Linked DNA regions of Arabidopsis thaliana. The protein of the gene in region 2 interacts with the protein of the main gene of each other region in a pairwise test. Each region holds a gene or a part of one and is shown on either strand. Other genes may lie near its edges.

The links.
Region 1: the proteins of ATO (region 2) and HB21 interact in binary tests that used the Arabidopsis thaliana proteins (3 or more experiments, as listed by UniProt).
Region 3: the proteins of ATO (region 2) and AT3G11100 interact in binary tests that used the Arabidopsis thaliana proteins (3 or more experiments, as listed by UniProt).

The regions. Positions count from the first base shown.
Region 1 is NC_003071.7:681,375-686,704, forward strand, and holds HB21 (homeobox protein 21), read left to right. Parts: upstream 1-2,260; 5' UTR 2,261-2,456; intron 2,457-2,914; 5' UTR 2,915-2,927; coding exon 2,928-3,860; 3' UTR 3,861-4,122; downstream 4,123-5,330. UniProt on the Arabidopsis thaliana protein: Putative transcription factor.
Region 2 is NC_003076.8:1,861,825-1,869,277, reverse strand, and holds ATO (splicing factor-like protein), read left to right. Parts: upstream 1-2,844; 5' UTR 2,845-2,979; coding exon 2,980-3,153; intron 3,154-3,582; coding exon 3,583-3,696; intron 3,697-4,165; coding exon 4,166-4,270; intron 4,271-4,379; coding exon 4,380-4,522; intron 4,523-4,625; coding exon 4,626-4,722; intron 4,723-5,148; coding exon 5,149-5,298; intron 5,299-5,377; coding exon 5,378-5,449; intron 5,450-5,732; coding exon 5,733-5,891; intron 5,892-5,988; coding exon 5,989-6,195; intron 6,196-6,271; coding exon 6,272-6,418; intron 6,419-6,508; coding exon 6,509-6,655; 3' UTR 6,656-6,953; downstream 6,954-7,453. UniProt on the Arabidopsis thaliana protein: Splicing factor homolog to SF3a60 that may be involved in pre-spliceosome formation. Is necessary for gametic cell fate determination.
Region 3 is NC_003074.8:3,474,979-3,479,928, reverse strand, and holds AT3G11100 (sequence-specific DNA binding transcription factor), read left to right. Parts: upstream 1-2,028; 5' UTR 2,029-2,608; coding exon 2,609-3,344; intron 3,345-3,425; coding exon 3,426-3,439; 3' UTR 3,440-3,742; downstream 3,743-4,950. Other genes in the region: LBD21 (LOB domain-containing protein 21), read right to left, coding at 4,396-4,893.

The sequences.
Region 1 (5,330 bases), on a different chromosome or scaffold from region 2:
TACATAGTATGGACGACGGGAAATTAAATTAAATTATATGGAGTATGCATTTATTTGCCATTATTCTGATGATATCGTAAACCGTAAGGTACAAAGAAAATAAAAGAGTTGTTTTTGAAAAAGCTGCTACAATGGAAGGAATTTTACCAGAGTCCAGAAGAATAGACAACACATAGAAACAAGAAGAAAACAAAAGAAAAAGATAAAAGTATCTCAATTTTTGTTTTTTTTGTATTATAAAATAAAAGCCCACAAGGTCACAAGGAAATTATAAACTAAGAAAGTGAACTGCTCTTATTTCTTAATTGTGTTTTGTGTAATTAAGACTTGAATGGTCATTAGCAATTGCCGCAATTTGGTAGTTAGTGCTTCTTTTACGAATCAATAAAAATGAGATTAGTCCCCACTCACCTAGAGGAACAACCGCCACCGTAGTTGAGACAACAACTTGTCGTGTTTGTTAGAACTTTTCTAAAACGAATTAAGTTTGTCGATTAGAACAATTATACCTAAAAGGTCAAAACATGAAAATGAAACATATTTTTTGACCGTCAAAAAGAAAAATATATCTTAAAACATTAGTCATCAAGAAGCAGAAATAATAATCTTAAGCAAGAAAGTAATAGTTTTCAGGTAAAATCTTAATATGTATTGGTGATTTGATGTTTTCATTTGTTTGATTTTAAAGAAATATAAAAATAGGGATTAGTGATAATTAAGTCGAAAATGTAAAGCAATAAAAAAAATCTATTTACCAAGACTTACTATATATACTTTTAGGCCAAAATTTACAATTCTGCCACCCAAGAGCAATTGTTCATATATCATCTATAACATAGAGTCTAATTTTACAACACTGATAGCCCGCAATATAAACCAAAAACTTTATATTATCAAAACTTAATAATAATCGAGATTTTGGTCTTAACAAAACTCGTAACAAACTTTGGTTTATGAATATATTTCAGTAACTATATTATCAGTTGATTATGATATTTTTATTTTATTGTTTATCTTTTGATTCTTTCTCACAATTGTATGTTCCAGAAAACGGATGATCATGGTATATAAGTGCACATATTTGGTAGGACCAATAATTAATAGTAACTTCAAGTAAATCATATAAATTCACAAGCATGACATGACAACCTCTTGAAGCTAATATCATACGTGACATAATTAATGGCGAAGGCCGAAGGGTAAAGGAACAATATGTGTTTTTAATTAACTAGCTTAACAAGTTAAGGCTTTATAGTAATGTTTAGAACATTCTTTCGTTTTGAATTAGTATCAATCTCACACTTTTAAATTTTAAGATGGTAAAAAATATTATTATTATACCTTACTACCAAATTTTTAGTTATTTAATGTTTTGGAACAAAGATGAGATATTGTTATTTATTATGACTTTCTCTTTGTTATCTACTTCAATACTCTTCCCACTAATTATCTGACACGTTTCTACACTGTTGTAAATTTGATGTCTGATAGTGCAAGACAAGCAATCTCCCATAATCCTAATTCTTGGCTCTCTTCTTTTTTTTCTTTCCCTTTACTGATAATTTGTTTTGGGTGAATATGAAAATCTTAGAGCATCCACATTACTCATACCTTTGTAGATATCTCAAAAATAAATTAAAATTAAATTAAAGACAGCTTCTATTTTAGAGATCTAAAATGTCTTTCTAAAGACACTATTACACAATTAAAAACATTAAATTATCTTTTTCTATTATTTTTAATTTAAAGACACCCTCAAAGTATCACCAATGAAGAATGAGGATGGTCTTATATTCAATATAACCTTCAATTCATCAATGACTGCGATATATCAATATTATAAAATGACATTTCATGAGTAAAAATGTATATAAAAATGAATAACTACTTATCTTATAAAGTCTAATTTAGTGATTGTTGTTGTTTCTTCAAATTTTAAATTAAATGATGTAGCTTTTTTTGTTTCAAATAATTTAGCTACACTTTTTCTTTTCCATATTTTGATCACAATTGTATTGTTTTTGTCTATATATTATCACCCAAATTTTAATTTGGTAGAGACATTATTGAATAAAATATCCTATATATGAATTAATAAAATGAAAACTAGGTGTAATTAATTAATGATCTTTTTTCTCTTTGTCTGTAGAAAAGTGAGGAAATAATTAGCTATGGCTATGGCTCTCATGTGTCTTTCTCATGCTTTATTGGCTTTCACTACTAATACTCTAAGCCCTTAGTTTAAGAAGTGCCTTCACATCCAAAACCCACCTGCAATTCTCTCTTTCTCTCTCTCTCTCTCTCTCTCTTTATCTTCTTTCTTCAAAGTCTATCACTTTATAAAACCCTAATTAAATCTCTAAACTCCTTAGCCTCTCTCTATTCTCAGAACCTTGTGGTTATTCTCAAGAAAGGTTTCATTTTGAGATAAAGTTTGCTGCTCTTTCTGGTTGTGGGTATGTGCTCTTAACTTCTTCAGTCAATTTTTTCATTTGGTTTAAATAGAACAATTTTGTTTTGGTGATACAATAAAGATTGTCTTCTTGATTATCATCAACCTCTCACTTGGAATAAGACCTTTCTTTCTCAAGTGGGTTTGTCAGCTTTTGCTTAAGCAGGCTTGCAATAAGTTTTTCTTTTCTTTTGTACTTTTTCGTTTTGTTCTCTATCTTTATGGACCTTCTAAAATTAGGGTTTTTCTTTTTGTTTGGAGGAAATAATTAAAAAAATGGGGTTAATGAGTAGTGAAGAAAGCTCTTGCCTTTTTGTAGCTTAATCATTTGAATTTTACTCATTAATTATCTTTACTCTTGTTTTTTTCTTCCTAACTAGTTTCTTTGTCCCCAAACCAAGAAACACTTTGCAAAACCCAAAAAAAGTTTTAAATATAAAATCGTGTTTATTTCCTTGGCAGATAGATCAAAAGAATGGAGATTGCAAGTCAAGAAGATCCTATTCCAATAAACACTAGTTATGGTAATAGTGGAGGTGGGCATGGGAACATGAACCATCATCATCATGCCAATTCTGCACCATCATCTCTCAACATTACTACTTCAAACCCACTACTAGTCTCCTCAAATAGTAATGGTCTTGGTAAAAATCATGATCATTCTCATCATCATCATGTGGGTTACAACATCATGGTTACCAACATCAAGAAAGAGAAGCCTGTGGTGATAAAGTACAAGGAATGCCTAAAGAACCATGCAGCTACCATGGGAGGCAATGCCATTGATGGTTGTGGAGAGTTTATGCCAAGTGGTGAAGAAGGTTCCATTGAAGCTCTCACTTGCTCAGTTTGCAACTGCCATAGAAACTTTCATAGAAGAGAAACCGAAGGTGAAGAGAAAACATTCTTTTCCCCTTACCTCAACCACCACCAACCACCTCCGCAGCAGAGAAAACTCATGTTCCACCACAAGATGATCAAATCACCATTACCACAACAAATGATAATGCCTATTGGCGTTACAACCGCTGGATCCAACTCAGAGTCAGAGGATCTTATGGAGGAAGAAGGCGGAGGAAGCTTGACATTCCGGCAGCCACCACCACCACCATCACCGTATAGTTACGGACATAATCAGAAGAAAAGGTTTAGGACAAAGTTTACACAAGAGCAAAAGGAGAAGATGATTAGTTTTGCGGAAAGAGTTGGTTGGAAGATTCAGAGACAAGAGGAATCTGTTGTTCAACAGCTTTGTCAAGAGATTGGAATTAGGAGAAGAGTTCTTAAAGTTTGGATGCACAACAACAAACAAAATCTCTCCAAGAAGAGCAACAACGTTAGTAACAATGTCGACCTTTCTGCTGGTAATAACGACATTACTGAAAATCTTGCTTCTACTAATCCTTAGTTAAGTTCAGATTGTTGTTATATAACTTCACTCATGTGATTACTTAATTAATTAAGTACTTTCTTATCGTATGGTTAATGTTTTCTCCTTTCTCGGCTAATCATTGTTTAGGTAGCTTTATAAACATGTGTTTTATTAGGGTACCTATAATCTTGGTTTTGGAGCGTGTAAGATAAGTTTTTGATGTTTTCTTATAATGTATGTTTAAGAAAATTCTTGGCGATTTAACCAATGCATTGGGATGTGCACTGTTATTATTTACTTCGAATCATTAGACTTTGTAGTTCGTGATATCATTTGTCACGTTTACTATTTATGTGAGTAGCAGAATTTTAGATTCTCATAGGTAACTCTTTTTGTTTTTGTTTTTTGAATTCTGATATTTATTAAAGGAAGTGTATCATACAAAGTCCATAACAAAATTAATACTAGTTACCTAAATCTTACGCCGGTCTTGTTTTGATTTGTCTTGTTTCTTTTTTGTCGTTGTTTTGATTTAACAAAATATTTTTTTTTGATTTGTCTTGTTTTTTAAACATCCGGTCTTGCTTTGATTCTATTATTTTGTTTTCTAGTTTGAAAAAATATTTTCATTCTCATGATCGAAAAATAAATTGCACGGAAAACAAAGAGAGCAATAAATTACGATTTCTATCAATGGAGAGAGTTGGAGATTGTCCTGGCGAGTGTAAGTCAAGTCCTAATATGTATGACGTATTAGGTTGAGTAAATGTTTGGTTGGTGTACTAGTAAACTCATTTATGGACCTTTTCTTTTATTTGAACAATTATGTGCATTTACTTTATGTGACTTCTTGGCATATTGCAAGTCGTGTAATGTGATATGGGATAAAATATGTCATGCATCAAAATGGAGTTACGATTTTAAGATGTTGTTGTTCCTTGTGATATCACATGTTTCATTTATTGTAATATTAAATGTAACATTTTCACTTGTTGTTTTATAGTAGTATAATTTTTTATGCCTATAGTTTATCACTCGATTTCAGTAAAACATCAATAATGAATTGCGTATTGCGTATTTCGTGGAAGATAAAAATTCAATTAACTGACATAGTTTATTGATTGCCATTACTATTATTTTGTTATTGAAACGTCATTTTATTCAAATATATTTTTATCTCCTTCAAGATTGACATAGCATTATAGCACTATAACAATATAAAATATATATATATATATATATATATATATAAATTATCCAACTCTTTACATATGATCGATACATCATCACTTTAACATTTATCATGTGTCTATTAAATAATTAATGTAAACTTTTCAATTTTTAATTTATAAGTTAATGATAAATTTATTATTTAATTTTATATATGATTTTATTTTACATATTTACTGTACTATTACTAAATTTATTTAAATATTACATGATTTTTCAATAAATTTTTCAATAAATTTATTTAAATATTTTATTTTAATAGTTTTTTCATACTCG
Region 2 (7,453 bases):
GTATCCAAAATTCCAAAGTGATTATGTCGTAAGATATGGGCCTAAAGTCCATAAACGTGAAAAAGCTTCTTCGATTAAGGTAAAACAAGCAAGTTTTCACGTTATCTTCACTAGATATATGTCTATCAATATTGATGATAATATTAAAGTCAAATTTCACAAACCTCGAACGAAGCTGCAATGTCAAGCGAAGAAATTTGCCAGCAGCAGAGAAAACGAGAACATCTTCTTTCCAGCATGATTGCAAGCTCTCCAAAAGACTAACGCTCTGTCTGAGCATCAAGTTGCGGGAAATCGGGTTTATATGAGTCAGAAACCTGAATGAAAACAAGAGAAGCTGAGAAGCCACTACTCTAATGGCAAGTATAGCCATCTATGATAGTTCTCGAGTACCTCAGTGAAAAGTACACTCCCACATTCCATTACTTCATGAATTCAGTACATATCGCTTGAGAGTTACATCAGACCTTGACGGACAATAACTTCTTTCAGGATAGATTTTGCTAAGAAGTTGTCTGTTTTAGCAACAAGATACAAAGAAAAGAGTACAATGAGTGAAATGTAAAACGACATCATAGAAGGAAACAATGTCCAATTATGATTAATGAACAAGGTTGGTAATACATCAAAATATGAAGTCTGAGATGGATCTCGGTGCTGAAGACGGTAACTTTCACGACCTGACATTTTCGAATCGCTGTTTCCCCTCCCCTGTGCAGACCACCGGCGATGGAGGAGTTTGTCATATAGTGTCTCTGTATTTAGACTGCGTGCCGAATTAAAGTTATAGAGCAGAACTCCGTGTCGGCATGGCTCAATCCAATTCGGTTCGGTTCGGTTCGGTTTAAGTAAGAAGAAAAAAACTTGATGAATAAGGCGATTCTGGTCTTTTTGTTTTCTGTCTTGTTTTGCCTATAAGGCTTAAAATAACATGGGCTTAAAGCCCAATAGTCAATAAACGAGGATAAGCTTCTTCGACTAGGGTAAAACAAGTCTTCACTATATATACAATGCATCTTCGATTATAACCCCCAATTCTTAGATATTAGGGCTTATGTTCTAAATCGTGTTATTCGTATTTATCGTTTTTTTTTTAAATCGTTGCGCAGCCCTTAAGATCGCCTTCCACAAATGCTTAATGGAAGCGTGTCGAGTCATTGCTGCGCTAAATCGAAATTTATTAAGGGTTTTTGATTAGGGTTCTCCTAAGAACTAACCCAGTTTTTACCTTCCTGATTTATTATAGGTCGAGTTTTTTTATATCGGCATTAGATCTGGAATTAAGGTCCTCTCTCGCTGACTCTTCAGATATAAGTGTTTATCTCTTTTATCTGCTAGAGATCTTTGCGTTTGAGGATTTTCAGATTTTAATTTCGTTCATTTAGTATCTCGTTCTATATAATCGGGTAGGATACATTGTTTTTATTGGTTTTGCAATGAAACGGCGAGAATGATGAACCAATTAGATGTGCGAATGAGGGGTAATTTCCTCATTATGAGCTTAAAACTGTTTGAGGCATATTTAACATCTCTGACTTCGCCGCTTTTCAAAAGTTTTGTTTGAGTTTTTATTGTTTGTTTTGGTTTGATGGAATAGTGGAAAATGAGGAACATATAACTCAAACGTGAATCAAACCATGTACCAGTTTTTGCTTATTGATATTCTGATTCCACCATTTGAAATGAATAACCATATTTGCTTTGTTTTCTTGATTTGGTTTGCTGTGTTTACGATGAACTCTCATTTGCTTCTCTGTATTTATTATCTTTTTATTAAGAAGATCAACTCATACGAAATGGTGATGTTTCAAAGTGAATTACTTCCAACCTTGATATCCTTAAGTTACAATTAGCGACTCATGAACTAATCGAAATATGGTTTGCCTTAGTTTGCCGTAAAGTAAGTGATATACTGATATGTAAACGATGTTGGCATGGACTATCTTTCAAAGACAACACCTGAAACAGAATTCTTGAGCTTGGACATGGAAGTGACTAATAATGGAAAATTGTTTATAGATAAAAAAAATAATACCAAATATGAATTGTTAACGACATTTCAATTTTGTATGTCCACTCGGAGATCTTCCTTTGGTTTTACAAACATAAATCAATATCAGAAGTCATAAGATTAGTCTATGGGATTGGCTATTATTTTGTTGTCAGGTGGCAATACTTACCCCAAAATGCCCATCGTTGGTTCAATATGAATATATGATCATCCTATATAGCTCTTTCCTGAGGAAAACAACCAAATATAGCTCTTTCCATTGATCTATTAAAGATGTCATCTCAACAAACCTCAATACTATTAGGAGATAGCTTGCAAATCTTATATCATGTGAGATATCATGAATTCAATTTGAAAAGAGTGAATAAATGGCTTGTTAACTCTTTAACTTTGACAATGATGACTTGATTTTGTGTTAGTTTGCTACCAATATCAAAGCCATTCATAGTGGATGGTTGTAAACTGCCCATTTTTTTTCTGTACAACCTTCTCTCCGTTAACATCTTTGCAAATGAACCCATTGAAGTATAGTACAATATCAAACAAACACATAATGTTTGAGTATTCCCATTAAAAGAGGATTGCAATCAGATAAAAAATATATAAATTACCAAATGGAATAGATCTTAAAAGAAAATAATTACCAAATGGTATTTTACCATATTATAGATTTTTTTATAATAAGTAAAATAATAATAAAATATAAAAGAAAAAAAAGAGTCTAAAAAGGCCCAAAACACTAACAGTCAAAAAAAGGCCTAAAACACAAACCGTCTAAAAAGGCCCAAAACATAGTTCGGCTTAAACGACCCAAACCACAACAAAAACCACCCGATTATCTTTTTCTCTCGGATTGGCGTTAAAAATTTTACTGGCGAGATTTCGGATTGAGGAAAAGAAAAGTGACTGGAATTTAGGGTTTAGACTCCGGCGAAGAAGGAGATTTCAAAGCTTCGAAGACAGAGAAAATGTCGTCGACTCTCCTCGAGCAAACTCGCTCCAATCACGAAGAGGTTGAAAGGTTGGAGCGATTGGTTGTGGAAGATCTACAGAAGGAGCCACCGTCCAGCAAGGACAGATTGGTCCAGGGACATCGTGTTCGTCACATGATTGAGTCTATTATGCTCACCACTGAGAAACTTGTACGCTTTCTCTCTTCTTCTCGTCAATTTTTAATCTTCTTTTCTATTTCCCGCATATGTTTTTATGTCTCTTCTCTTTTGAATACGTTAGATCAGAGCAGAGAAACTTGGGTTGCTGATTTTTTTTTAAATAACAGGTTCGTGTTGAGTGTTGCCTCTTTTTCTGTTAATTGCTTTAGCTTTTTAGGTTATCATTGTGGGGTTTAAGTTAGCTTTGAATCACTCTGGCTTGGGTGTTAAATTGAGAAGAAACTTCAGAGATTGGTGTTGAATATAGGTTATAGTTGGGGTCTTAAGTGTGTATGTAGGGATTCTAAGTTTTGAGCTAAGCATGCTTCAGTGTTATTTCACAAATTTGAGTTAATTTTTGTTGTTGATAATTAACTCAAACTTGGATTAATGCTAACCTTGATTCTTGTTTGTTGTAAGGTTGAAACCTATGAAGATAAGGATGGGGCGTGGGATGATGAGATTGCAGCGCTTGGTGGCCAGACTGCGACAGGGACAAATGTGTTTAGTGAATTTTACGATCGTTTGAAAGAGGTTTGTTCTTTATCCTTTGCACCTTCCTTGGTCTTTTTTCCCTAAAACTTGCCTATGGTTCTCTATACCAAGACTTGGCTTTACTTTAGTTTCTGTGGGTTGTATATTAGAGATTGAGCAGCTAACTTTACCGGACTATTAGTTAATCTAGACATTGTTATTTAGCTGTTGATCTTTTAAAAAAAAATAGTTTTATTGATTGCCTTGAACCACTGTGATGGAGAATCAAGAATTATGTACAAAATCTCAGTGAAAGTGTATTAGTTCTGTTCCATCAACAATTTGGTTAGCTGTATAAGGCTTGCTTTGCATAAGAGTATTAAGGCGGTGAAATTTTCATGAGGACACCCTGAATAAGATTCAAATTGCTAATTCGTTTTTTTTTTATTGTCTGAATTATTTGATTTTCTTGTACCACTGATGAAAGCATCAGAGCTGCAACTATTTAACTTCTTTTATAAACTTACAGATACGTGAATATCATAAAAGGCATCCTTCTGGACGTCTTGTTGATGCTAATGAAGACTACGAAGCACGCCTGAAGGAGGAACCAATTATTGCGTTCAGTGGAGAGGTAGGTTTCTGCTTGACTTTTTATTGTTGCTATTTGTTGACGCATTTTTTAACAGTTTGTAAGCCCCTTTTTTATTGTCAATACTTAAATCTTCTTGTCTGTTACGCAGGAAGGCAATGGTCGGTACTTGGACTTGCATGATATGTATAACCAGTACATCAACTCTAAATTTGGGGAAAGGGTTGAATATTCTGCTTACCTTGATGTTTTTTCTCAACCAGAGAAAATACCGCGTAAACTGAAGTTATCGAGGTAAACACTTCATTGGAATTTTCTTTTACTTAGAAAGCCTCCAATTATTTTTCTAGCTGCAGCTGAATGGCTTTCCTTTTTGTATTGCTATTTTTCATTTTAGGCAATACATGAAGTATATGGAAGCTCTACTTGAGTACCTGGTCTACTTCTTCCAGCGAACCGAGCCGTTGCAAGATCTTGACCGGATACTTTCTAAGGTTTAAGCTCCTCCCTTTCTTTATCATTTTATTGCGTTTACCTTGTTGCCTTATGAAATTTTATGGGCGTTTCGAACTATGCATTAGTACATAACTGGTATATTTATTCGTGCTTAAGAAGTTTCTACTAGTTTCCCAAGTATTAAGTGTAGAACTTTGGATTTGATTTCCTTAGTTCTAACAACTGGTTGCTTTGTGAGTCTTTCATCCCCCTGGAGATAATACATAATTTTGGAAAATAAATGGCCATAACTAGATGGTTGTATTCAATATTCATTGGTGCATAGTTTGCTCTAAGTGCAGAGATTGTATATCCTCGGAAGGTTTTGAACCATGTTATAGTTTGACATTCTGGTAGTTCTAGTTTGGCCAATGCTGTGCCTATTGTTTGATCTGTTGCGATTAATATGTTTGGTTCTTTTACAGGTTTGTTCTGATTTTGAAGAGCAATATGCAGATGGAATAGTAGAAGGCCTGGATAATGAACTTATTCCATCTCAGCATACTGTCATAGATCTTGATTACTACAGTACAGTCGAGGAACTGGTAGATGTAGGACCTGAAAAGCTAAAAGAGGTAATGACCATACTACTTCATGTTAATATCCTTTTTGAAGCATATTCCCCTAATCATATGTTCTTTGTATGCCATTCAGGCATTGGGGGCATTAGGACTGAAGGTTGGTGGTACTCCGCAGCAGCGTGCCGAGAGACTTTTCCTGACAAAGGTTTTTACACTTGCTATATAATCTCCTATTTCTTTAAGTTTCGTCTTATGAGAGGGTACTTTTATCAATTAGTAGCCGCGTTCTTGTTGTTCTTACTGGGTTTGGAAGGAACATTTAGCTGTTATGAAACCTAGTTTGGTAGTTCAGCTCAGCTCTTCTTCTAATATGAAACTAAGGCTTTTGTTGTCATAGTTCATGTTTTGTAGGGATTGAATTCTATTTGAAGCTTTTCTTATTACCTTGAGGTTATCTAATTCCCTTAATTAATTCAATTTTTGTACAGCATACGCCTTTGGAAAAGCTGGATAAGAAACATTTTGCCAGACCTCCACACAACGGAAAACAAAACGGAGATGCCAAATCAACACATGAGTCTGAAAATGCTAAAGAGATTGCACTAACAGAGGCCAAAGTGAAGAAACTCTGCAATTTACTTGATGAGGTTAGTTGATTGAAAGCTCATAGTGACATTTTTTTCCCCCTCCCAGATATCTAGTTGTACTTTTTCTGTTAACTTTTCTTGTTGTCACCTTTTATAGACCATCGAAAGGACAAAACAAAACATTGTAAAGAAACAGTCGTTGACATATGAAGAAATGGAGGGAGAACGTGAAGGGGAGGAAGCTAATACCGAATTAGAAAGTGATGACGAGGACGGTTTGATTTACAATCCGCTGAAGCTACCAATAGGTTGGGATGGGAAGCCTATACCATACTGGCTCTACAAACTTCATGGCCTTGGCCAGGTATGTAGTTTATTTATGAGACCATTGTTGTATCAAAGGAACATAGATTCACATTAAATTTCTTGTTATTACGCAGGAGTTTAAATGCGAGATATGTGGGAACTATAGCTATTGGGGAAGAAGGGCTTTTGAGAGACATTTTAAAGAATGGCGACACCAACACGGAATGCGTTGCCTAGGAATCCCAAACACAAAGAACTTCAACGAAATCACTTCGATTGAGGTAATAATATAATATGATCAAAGACTTTGTACAGCTTAAAGTAGTAAATAGTTTGGTAATTTGATCTTGTTGTTGTTTGGTTTGTTTCAGGAAGCCAAAGAATTGTGGAAGAGGATACAGGAGAGGCAAGGAGTGAACAAATGGAGGCCAGAACTTGAAGAAGAATATGAAGATCGTGAAGGTAACATTTACAACAAGAAGACTTACTCTGATCTTCAACGCCAAGGTCTCATCTGATTGATCACATCCTCTTGATGAAATCTTCTCTCCTTACTATATCCCTTTAAACCATATTCTACCTTTCGCCTTTGTAAAATCAAACCATTCGTCATCTTTTTGTGAGGTTTCGTCTCATTAAAACAGTATTTAGTTTATGTTTTTGAATTGACTATCACAATCGAGGATATAAAATTTGTTTTTGTATGGACAATGCTAGTAAGGAATAGTTGAGGACTTTACTTCAATAACAAGAAACAGATATGAGTTAATATAGGATACTACATGTAAGAATCAATCACTAAAGTTTTCAGATGATAGTGTACTCACAAATTTTGAACTAATTTTTTGATCTTTGATATTCTTACAAAATTGGAATGTTTTAATTTCCTTAATTATCCAATTCCTAACAAATCATTGGTTCCTTTTTTGATAAAACTTAAAATTTGAGTCAAACTTTATAAAAATTATCAAAATAAACAGATACAACCTCAATACCTCATACGACTGTCAAATTTTTTAAAGTAAGCTATCACATAGTTTACCTTTATTTTTTTTTATTATATTTATTTACGATATTTTTTTTTTTTGAAAAATACACAGATATTTGATTTTGGTCAGATATATGTCCATATACGAAGACTTTCAAATTTTATTTGTTTTCAAAAAACCTAAACATACAATCTCATTTTGCTATTTTGGAAAGAATAATGAAATATTCCTTTCTTAATCATATTCCAAAATTTTAATTAAGAAATAAAAGTTGGGATGGGCTTTACCTTTTTTATTTACAGTCCAACGGCCTCATTCGATGACTAG
Region 3 (4,950 bases), on a different chromosome or scaffold from region 2:
TAGTATGTATAAAAACAGCGTCGTGATGTATATATATAGTATACTAGTGCTAATCTCAGTCACGTGATTGTATTTCCTTAAATAAAATAACAGAAAGAGAATATTAATTTGAGTTAAACAGCTTCCACAAGTAGTACAACTGTCTGTACAAGCAAGACTCAAGTTTGAAGGAAAGTGGGATTTTTTTTTGTTACTTTATATATTGTTTTAATTTGTCTTAATTAGTTTAGGAACAATAATAAAGACTATATTAGGCAACATGCACGTACGTTTGTGTGTTTTCGAGATCCCAATGGTAGCAACTGGCAAGTAGCAACATACTAAAATAAATAGCATTGTTTAATTATGCGTACAAACGAAATTGGCTACATTTTTAGTTGCTTCACCACCTATACTTGATCATGGATTAGCTCGATTACTTGGCTGCAGGATGTGATATTTGATATTATTGTAAAGTGATTTAAGAGTAACAATAATCGATTGCGTCTAAGATTCAGTTGACAAACTAAATTGTTTTACGTTCCAACTCACATCACTTTGATAACCTGTAAATCATGATTTATCTTTTCACATCTGCGTTTTCATAAGAAAGTTTGAAATGTATAAAAGATGCATGTAAACCAGTAAATGATGATAATGACATATTTAGTTTAGAAAACTATATGTAGTGATGTTAATATGGGCTAACCCACCCCAATTAAACCCATCCCATTTAAACCCACTCCATTTAACTTTAAACTCATATAAATCCATTTATTTTTGAAACCCATTTAACCCTACCCATTTAAATTTAGTAAATCCATGTGAACCCATTTAAACCAATTAAGTGAGATATTGCCTTTTATTAATTAATTCATAAACTTAATAGATAAATAACAACAGTCCATAAACATTAGCTAAATCTGAAATATTTATAATTTACTAAAATATAGATTTCAATAACATATAATGATAATAATATTTTCAAATTTGGCAAAAAATATTTTTTTTTGTGATTTTGGCGGGAAAACTTGATTTTACGGTTTTACGGGAAAATGTCGTTTACGGTTTTGGCGGAAATACGTGATTTTACGGTTTTGGCGGAAAACACTTTTTGTGATTTTGGCGGGAAAACGTGATTTTACGGTTTTGGCGGGAAAACGTGATTTTACGATTTTGGCGGGAAAACGTGATTTTACGATTTTGGCGGGTAAACGTGATTTTACGGGTTTGGCGAAAATACGTGATTTTCAATTTTGGTGGGAAAACGTCATTTTACAGTTTTGGCGGGAAAACGTGATTTTACGATTTTGGCGGAAAAACGTCGGTTTACGATTTTGGTGGGAAAATGTGATTTTCGATTTTGGTAAAAAACGTGATTTTGGTGGGAAAACGTAATTTTATGGGTTTTAGCGGAAAAACGTGATTTTACGTTTTGTTTTAAATATATTTAGTATTTTGCTCTTTATTTTAGTTATAATTAAGTTATCTACTTTTTAATAAAAATAACTAATATAAAATAAAACATAAATGGGTACCCATTTGTTTGTGGGTAAACCCATTTATTAAATAGGTTTAATTGGGGTAACCCATTTAACCCCATTTGATATTTTTCTCTAAATGGGTTTAAATGGGTTATTTTTTTTTGCACATACCCATTTAACAAATGGCTATTCAATGCCCAAGTTAACATCACTAACTATATGCTTATTTCTACTAGCTCTTCACCAAGACCATCGTGGAAACTTTGATCGACAGAAAAAACACCTCAGCTCTTTTTTCAAATATTTCAGCGACATTTTAGTAGTTATGAGGAAACAGTAGTAGTTAGGCATGGACTAACATATCAATTGGCGAGACAGCAAAAAGACAATTAGACAAGACACGGCACGAAACATACATTATAGACATAGAGTCTACGACCTAACACGTTTGCGATGCTCTCTCTTATTACCTAACAATTCGCCTGCTTACCTATTTCCTTAATTACATCCCACCATTTTTCACTTCCAAACTTCAATTTGTTACGGCGTAACGTAAATGATCTTGTTACTGGAATACACAAAACGTATAAATTTTCTTAATATTCTGATAACATTTCTTTCTTTCCAATTATGACTTTTAAAAACCACTACCAAAACTAATACAACCTCATATTTACTGTCTTTCCTAGAATACACAAAAATACACGTTATAAGATTTCCTATAATGACATGAACTGATGAGATTCTAGCCCTAATCGTTATTATCAATCAGTCTATGAGTTTAATAATGTAATCTTATCATCATTACCCGTAGAAACGCATTAAAAGAAGCTTGAAATTGACTATAACTAGTAGTAGCCTAGTTAGTAGGACTCTCAATTTATGATTAAACCGGTTTTCGATAACCGTTTTCGATAACCGGTTTTTCAGAAATGAGTGTGATTGATTCGGTTAGCAGAGGAAAAAGAGAGAGGTAGGAGAAAGAAGATAATCGCCGTTGCTGACGTCACCGCCGGTAATCAAAAATCTCTCCTTTAACCGTAATTTCTCTTTTAACTTTACCAAAAATCCGATCCAACAGAAATTCTTATCCTAAGCCTCTTTCTCCACCGCGCACGTTAGCCTCCTCTCTTTCCCACTCCGAGATGGAGACGACGCCGGAGACTCAGTCGAAGACTCACCGTCTACCGGCGGGAAGAGAGGATTGGTGGAGCGAAGACGCTACGGCGACATTGATCGAAGCTTGGGGAGATCGTTACGTCAATCTCAACCGGGGAAATCTCCGGCAAAACGATTGGAAAGAAGTCGCCGACGCCGTCAATTCAAGCCACGGGAATGGCCGGCCAAAGACCGATGTACAGTGCAAAAACCGGATCGATACGTTGAAGAAGAAGTACAAAACTGAAAAGGCGAAACCTTTATCGAATTGGTGCTTCTTTGATAGACTCGATTTCTTAATCGGTCCGGTTATGAAGAAATCGTCCGGTGCTGTTGTTAAATCGGCGTTGATGAACCCTAATTTGAATCCTACTGGATCTAAATCAACTGGTAGCTCTCTCGATGACGATGATGATGATGATGATGACGACGAAGAAGATGATGATGATGCGGGTGATTGGGGATTTGTGGTGAGGAAGCATCGTAAAGTTGAAGATGTAGATTCGAGTGAAGGATCAGCCTTTAGGGAGCTAGCGAGATCGATTCTGAAGTTAGGGGAAGCGTTTGAGAGAATCGAGGGGAAGAAGCAACAGATGATGATTGAATTGGAGAAACAGAGAATGGAAGTTGCAAAGGAGCTTGAGTTACAACGAATGAATATGTTGATGGAGATGCAATTGGAGCTTGAGAAATCTAAACTTGGGAAACGAAGAGCTGCTTCAGGTAAAGTTTTCATTTTTATGTGTGTTTTGTTGTGATTGATGAGTTTACTGAAACTTCAGTTGTGCTTTGTTTGTTGTATAGGTAAGAAGTTGTAGGATTGTAGATTGTGGAGGAGTTACTGATGTGAAGCAAGGAGCAATGGTTGGATCTAAAGCTCATACGATTTGGAGAAGATGTTATTATTATTGATCTTTAGGTTTTCTTAAGTTATAGCGCGATGCTTTTTTTCTTCTTCTTCTTTTTCATTCTCTTTTTTAGCATTGTAGAGTTACATTGGTAGTAGCAATGCGAATTACCAAAAGAACTCTCATAGTATCTGACATATCAAGATGTACTTTTGTGAAGTATCAATGTATGATGGTTTGTGTATCAGTGTCTGCAGTTCCAAATTGTGCTCATCTCTCTTTCTGTGATCTGCAATTACTCTTTTGCTTAGGCAGGTTTCAGGAATGTGTACAGACTTAACAAGATGCGTAGAACGGTTCTGAGGAGAACTCTTATCAGAGTCATTCATAATTCAGTTTGGAATTTGATCAAACCCACCAAGCTATTGATTTGGATGTTTGCTTATGTGACTTTGCTGCACTCTGGAATCTCCAGGACAAGACTCTTGTGGCCTGAGGGAGACGAGTTGACACATGAGGCTGTATTATTGGAGCCTCAAAAAAGAACATCATAGAAGCATATATATCAATGTTTCATGTTTGGTAGAATTTCGGGATGACATAAGCATGTGCTCTCCTATTCATACCTGACTTACAAAGAAGCTCTTCATCTAAAACACCTCACTTTACTCACCTTGGCCTACCACTTGGTCCAAAACTGGTAAGGACTCTGACCTTCCAAGGCTCATCTTGTACCTGAGTTATCTCATCGCATGTGATGGTTACTTTTGAAGTTAAAACCCTTTTTCATACATATGATGAAGTAAGCATCTGATTATGCATACTGGAATTCATACATTAGGGACAGACTTTAGATTGTCAAAGATAACTTGTAAAGCAAAGTGCAAATACAGCTGATAAAGAGATATATGATAGAGAGATAAGGCCTATACAAAAGGAGGCTGTCCAAGATCATACAAGTAAGCATCAAGATTAGTAGACCCATCAAGCAACATCAAGTCACTATAAGGTACAAGATCAAGAAAAGCAGCAAGCTCAGGAGAATCATCCAAAGGGGACACTTGGCTGTTGTTGACCCCAGAATGGGCAAGTAGTCGAGTGCGAGCAACAGCTAGATCGTGTTGAAGCTCGAGCATCTTCTTCTGCAGAGACGCTATGGCTCCAATGCAACCGTAAACAGGATCCTTGAGACGAACCTCAGCTTCATAAGCCAAGGAGTTAACGGTTTCTTGTCTCTGTTCTTCAGGAACTTCACCGAGAAGCTTACTGACGTTGCTGGCTCCAAAGACTTTATGGACTTTGGCGAAAGTTATCAAGTCACTTGAGCGGAAATAAGGAGCGAAAATGCAAGTGGGTGTGCATCGTCTCTTCAAGAGCTTGCAGGCTGCACAAGATGAGCTTGATCGTGGCTCATGCCCTCTCATCTCAAACTTTTTGTTTGTTTGTTTTGATTTTTTGGTGGTAAATGTTAGGCTCTCGTT